Kluyveromyces lactis: one gene and its partner. The protein of the gene in region 1 interacts with the protein of each later gene in a biochemical or structural test. Links are inferred from orthologs where the notes say so. Each region holds a gene or a part of one and is shown on either strand. Other genes may lie near its edges.

What was found.
Region 2: of the proteins of SKN7 (region 1) and YPD1, one has a biochemical effect on the other in vitro, tested with the Saccharomyces cerevisiae proteins (2 studies listed by BioGRID). The link is inferred for Kluyveromyces lactis from reciprocal best matches to the Saccharomyces cerevisiae genes SKN7 and YPD1.

Annotation. Positions count from the first base shown.
Region 1 is NC_006037.1:895,350-898,874, reverse strand, and holds SKN7 (kinase-regulated stress-responsive transcription factor SKN7), read right to left. Parts: upstream 1,945-3,525; coding exon 517-1,944; downstream 1-516. Other genes in the region: SET5 (S-adenosylmethionine-dependent methyltransferase), read left to right, coding at 1-123; Elongator subunit ELP6, read left to right, coding at 2,648-3,457; TGL3 (bifunctional triglyceride lipase/lysophosphatidylethanolamine acyltransferase), read right to left, coding at 3,474-3,525. UniProt on the Saccharomyces cerevisiae protein: Transcription factor that is part of a SLN1-YPD1-SKN7 two-component regulatory system, which controls gene expression in response to changes in the osmolarity of the extracellular environment.
Region 2 is NC_006040.1:1,627,077-1,629,540, forward strand, and holds YPD1 (Ypd1p), read left to right. Parts: upstream 1-1,495; coding exon 1,496-1,903; downstream 1,904-2,464. Other genes in the region: ssDNA-dependent ATPase MGS1, read right to left, coding at 2,284-2,464. UniProt on the Saccharomyces cerevisiae protein: Phosphorelay intermediate protein that is part of the branched SLN1-YPD1-SKN7/SSK1 two-component regulatory system, which controls activity of the HOG1 pathway and gene expression in response to changes in the osmolarity of the extracellular environment.

The DNA of each region.
Region 1 (3,525 bases):
CTCAAGGAACTTTTAGAAAACGGTGATGAGTTCGATCTAGAAATCCCATCCGATGTCAATTCCAAGAGAAGAATGTCTGTGCGATTCAATAGCCATGTCACACTGGCCGTCGAAGAAGAATAAAACTCTGCTTATCATACTCGAATGAGCATACATAATATACCTGTACGTATACACAAATATACTCATCTGTCAACGTCATAAAAGATCCAACGAGACGAAGATTGAAAGATAATTACTAAAACCAATAATTTTATAAGTAATAAGAAGGATATAGATACAACTTTACCGTACTTTTGATCGATGTACCATCAATAATAGGAAGTACAGAATAGAATTAATAACCGAAAAAGCACAGACCAAACGTATAATAAAAGAGGACTTTTTTGGTGTTTAAAATAATGGAGAAAGAAAACAAACAAGAGTTCTTGAAGTGAAATGAAGTGTCCTGTTTTCTGGCCCATTTCTCTTTTTATCTTTTTTTTTGATAGCAGCATGAAGGATACCTTAACTGTCTTATATGTGCGGTTTCTTTAGCATTGGTTCCTCTACATACGCTTTAGGGTCATTATTAGAATTTTGTCTTTGTTCAGACAACGGGATCCGATCTTTGAGGTATCGTATTAGCATCGAGTGTAAGTCATCTTTTGTGAACGGTTTAGCTAGGATATCATTCATACCGTGTTGTAAGTAAGTGACTAAGTCCTGATCATCGATGTTACCTGTCATGGCAATGATGGGAGTTTCATTATCAAAACTTCTAACAATGGATGTCGCTGTAGCACCATCTAAATTTGGCATAACAATATCCATCAATACCAAGTCAAATCGCTGTTTTTCCAGCGTGGAAATGGCAGATAATCCATCAGTAACCACTTCCACTGAGCAACCATATTTTCTTAAGAATTTGGAGCAGAGTTGGATACAAACAGAATCGTCTTCGACAAGTAAAACGTGGAATCCTGGACGCAAGACAGGATGTTGGTCCATCGGAAGTAGCTCAATGGGTTCCTGTTTCTGTAACGTAGTATTAACCGACAGCCCTGGGATATTTGCATTGGGTGTTGATCCGGTTGAGTCCGATATTTGACGTTGCTGATGAGACTTATTATCCGCACGAGAATTACCTTTTTCGAAGGATAAACCTACGGGTACTTTTAAACCCTGCTGCGATAACGCATCGACAAGAATTTGGAAATTAGAAATTAATTGGGAGTTAAAGGATTCAGTGGAAAGGAGACTTTCCAACGCCATATTGTACTTAGACTGAATCTTTTGAAGGTCCAGTTTCATATTATGATTCTCATTTGTTAGATACTGGACCTGGTTTTCCATGTCTTCCACCTTCCGCTTTAATTGGTTGAATTTGGTCTTGTTCACCGTGTTTTTCAGAAGCATCTTCGCAGTCATACCTTCTTCGTCACCGGCAATGAAGGCACCATCGTCTCCGGGTGCACCACCTAGTTTCCTCACTATTACGGAGTTCTCATCCACCAGTATTTTCTTCTGTGATGACGGTTTCCTGCGAATGTTATCCAACCCTGCCTCATCGTGTCTTCTAAAATACTGATGGTTGAATTCCCACGCGTTTTGAATCCCCTCAGACACTTCGTTCTTCTTCCTCTTGACTTTATGGAAGTCGTACTTGTTCAACTGCCTCACAAAACTCGCAAAATTCGAATGCTTGAAGTGTTTAGGCAAGATATCCGTCGTAAATTTATTCGTGTCTAGCACTATAAAATTCTTACCATCAGGCGACCACGATATAATGCTGGTATATTCCTCTGATTCCAATATTAGAAACAATTTTCTAACAAAATCATTGAACGACGTCCTTTGACTCTTCCCCTTACCGTTGGAACCAGACCCTCCAGGCACAGAGCCAATTCCATTGTCGTAATCGTCTTTATGGCCCTCACTCAATTGTTCACCTAAATCATCCATTTTTTTTCGTCCGTTCTTTTGCTCGTCCTTTGTTCTATGAATGAATCTGAATCCAGCAGAAACTCTCTTACTGATACCGTCAGTGTCAAAGTGAACCAAGTACAACTAAGCCCGTAAAACCTAAGCCCCAGATAAAATCACTTCGCTAAAAAGAAAACCTGTACTCTTGGAACAAAAGAAACACAATTCAGAAGGTTAAATGCCACACGAACAAACGGCAACAGTGATACAGTCCGTGATAAACCACAACCAAGAGGCACAGACGTCTGCTATTTAAACAGTTTGACGTTGTGTTTGTTATCGTCATTTCGGTTCGTGTGTTTTTTTTAAACCTTTCTGGACACAATTTTTCATGAACCCAGAAGAAAAAGACGAGCAATTTCGGTGAATTTGGCAACGGAAAGTGGTAATTTACTTCCGGTAGAACTATTATTTTTGAATAAGAACTAAATATTTAAATAGGCCTGATTATAAGGTACATAGTAATGTAATCCATGTTCGAGGTTAACTACCGGAAGTGTTACTTTTCTGCTGTTTTGTTGTGTCTGGTGTTTCCCAGTTTTTGTCTTTTTTTTTTTTATACTTTACAGGTTGAATTTCAAAATGAAATAGTAGCAAACGATGCGATGAGATGACGTTTCTTGTTGGTACCACCGGCTCTATTCAGCTGCTCGTAACTCTTTGAGCACGTATTACAAGGGATATGTCGGTGCAAAAACAGGAGCTTCAGATTTTTAGTGACCATTCTGTGCTTTCCAGGCATCTATTCACAGATTCGTCATCCAATTTGGTTTTGGTGACAGATACGGTAGCGACGAATGCATCCTGGTTTGTCAACGCACTTGTGGAAACGGTCACTTTAGGTGGGCCCGTCTCTTTAAATGGGAATAACAGTGGATCCAATAGCGGTTTGAGCAGCAGTGATCCCGTGAAAGTGGTAGTCGGATCGTTTTTGAACCATCAATCGTATTTTACAACTGCATTTGACAGGTTGAAGGTACCACGGAATAGATACAACGTCTTACAAATAGCAGAGGATCTTGTTGTCAAAAACGTAGGTAAACCTGTGGATGTAGTTATTGAATGGGTTTTGAAGCAGTTTGAAGAGTCGTTATCCAACAGTCCTTCAGTGGTAATATTGGAAAAACCGGAAATTTTAATGGCACTCTTCAAGTTGAACAGTGACGAGTTGCATTTGAAATTGATCAACCCTTTACTTAAACTATGTTCCTTACTTATAGTCGTCAACTCTGTGGAGTCCTTCGATAACGATTTCCCAGAACATCTGGGTAAGGATACCGTCGAGTTTGTAAGGTTTACCACTTCATGTTTCCATAAAAGTTTCCTAGTACTGTCGGTGAGACCCTTGGACACCGGTAAGGCCAAAGACGTGACCGGAACGTTGGCTATAACCCGTGGTGGTGCCTTGCTGGATATTCCTGCACTACACGTTGTGGAAAACCAGTATTTGTTCCATGACTTGAAGGAAAATACAACACTATTTTACAGATGATGTACATGAATAAATACTATATACTCTTCTTAAATCCTTTAATAATGTCGTCTAATGTGAACTCAACT
Region 2 (2,464 bases), on another chromosome or scaffold:
GTTGATGAATCTAGTAGTAGAGATCAATGTACAAGAGCCCGCACTGCATCTAGAAGGTGGAATTCCTAATTTTGTACTATGGAATTTATACATGCCTAATCAATAGTCCATTTTACGGTCAACAAGCCGATGAGGATGAAAAGTCTGATATTTTCATGACGTCATAAAGTGCCGTATCTTGTTTCATTGTAACGGCAAATAATCAAAGCATTACCACCCTTCTGGTAGAAAGCATCGATCGGAGAGGGTAAATTGTTTCCCATTCACACGGTCCTTATTTACCCAACTGAGTGCTTCGAATGTCGCATCAAAGCTTGCAATGAGGAATAGCTCAATAAGCAAGAGACAAATACATCTCAGTTCTGTCAAGTATCCTTCATCAGTAAGAAATAAATATATTGCAGGTTATTGAAAATATTGGCTGCAGATGGTCTAATGCTTCGGAGGAAATCATGTTTCTTCTTATAAGAATTTGGCGCCTATATCGTACTCAGATGGCGTACGCATTTAGTTACATCAAGGAAATAATTGCTCTTGTTTTTGTCCTTGAGTAGATTAGCTTTTTCTCTATCAGTAGTGGGAATTAGCATTATGCTTCTACCACGATTTTTTTATCCTTTTTCCGTCACTAGGAACCAAGGCACCTTACGAAAGAGTTACGTCAACTAACATTAAGAAGAAAACAGATAAAAGGGTTTCTGTCTATCAAGTTGAATATCTTCGAACGAAGACCTATGTAAGGACAACAGGGTATTTTTCGGGCAGGTTTCTTCATTTTTTTGCTAAATAACACTGCCAAGACTAGCATCAAGTCACAGTTGTTGTACTTGTGATGAAGATTGGCCCTTTTCAAATAAGTTTCCTGCTTCAATTACTTGGCTTGAACAATCAACCTTTTTGTCTTGCCCAGAAAATGAAACAACCAAGTGAAGTTTTTCAACTTGGCAGCTTGCATATACATTCTGTTGGCAGCAATTAGGCTCAAATATCCAGGATTTGCAACTTCTGTCATTAAAGACGTTTGATTCTAAAAACTTATAATACATCTCTTTTCGGATTAAGCTCTTTTCCTTACTTTTTTCCACATATGATTATTTTCATTTTTTAATTTTTTTTTTTTGAATCGAAATATTCGAACTTCTCAGTTAAGGTGCAATTGATCAAGTGTAAGACTACATTTGAAAGAATTCATATAACGGGGTGTGCAATTGAAGCTAATCCATTTCTGTTAAGACAATTGTATATACAAAAAGGTTTCTTTTGTTATATCTATCTGTCTTTGTTGAACGGAAGTCTCTTTATTTTTTTTTTTTTTTTCGCTATTGATTCGGAGCTGCCGATACTTAATCCATTGGAGTTTTGTTTCATTTTGCTTTTGCAATATTGAACTCTTCAATACATGCTAATTTACTGACCTTCCATTGAATAAACCGACCTACCCTGATACACGAGAGAATCATTCAGTGACTTTTTTTAACGAAAAGCACAATATATAATGTCCCAAACACCTAGAATTCCAGATAAAGTGATCAATTGGGATATTCTCAATGAAATTGTTTCCATGGATGAAGATGATGCTGGCTTTTCACAATCCTTACTAATACAATTCTTTGAGCAAGCGACTTCTACCTTTAACCAAATCGAACAGCACATCAAAACTGATAAGAACTTGGATCAACTGGGACAGCTGGGACACTTTTTGAAAGGATCTTCGGCATCCCTAGGTCTACAGAGGATTGCATGGGTTTGTGAGAGAATTCAAAATTACGGACAGAAAAGAGAAGGATCCGGTATTACAGACGATAATTATATACAATTGATTCAAAATTCTCTGGATCTGGCAAGGAAAGAGTTTGACTCGGCCAAGAGCGAACTAGGGCAGTACTACAAAACTCAATTTTAAGTTTACTTCTCTGATTTTTACAGGCAACATATTCTCTTTTCGCATTTGAATGAATTTATCTCATTTCAGACCTTTTTCATCCCCCCTGTATTTTTATTCCATTCCATGCTATCTGCGGACTATATTGACCCCATATCTGTGCTGCTATTCTCATTCATTTGAACGATATGATAAAGTCTGCAAGCACACCTCTAGTGACATTAGTCTCGCTTTTGATGGCACCTTTCTAGTAAGTAGACTGAATATTATTACTTATGTACTCTAAATCGTACTGCCCTGCTTATATAGGCTTGAAGCCTGTTTCAACGTATCTAAATGATGTTACTCTATCATAGTGTCTTAAATGTAGATTATTTAATGTTAGACTTGTAGAGCACCACTTAGTTCTGGTGAGAAGTCAGATCTGGATCTTCCATGTCTCCAAGTGCTTTACCATTGAGAAACGTGAGTTCCTTACGACCACACCTGTCAAGTAACTCCTGTGGAAAATACTCTTGCAGAACTTTTCCATCTTTAAAGTTTGGATTGTATTTGTAACCTTTCCCATATCCCAACTCTTCC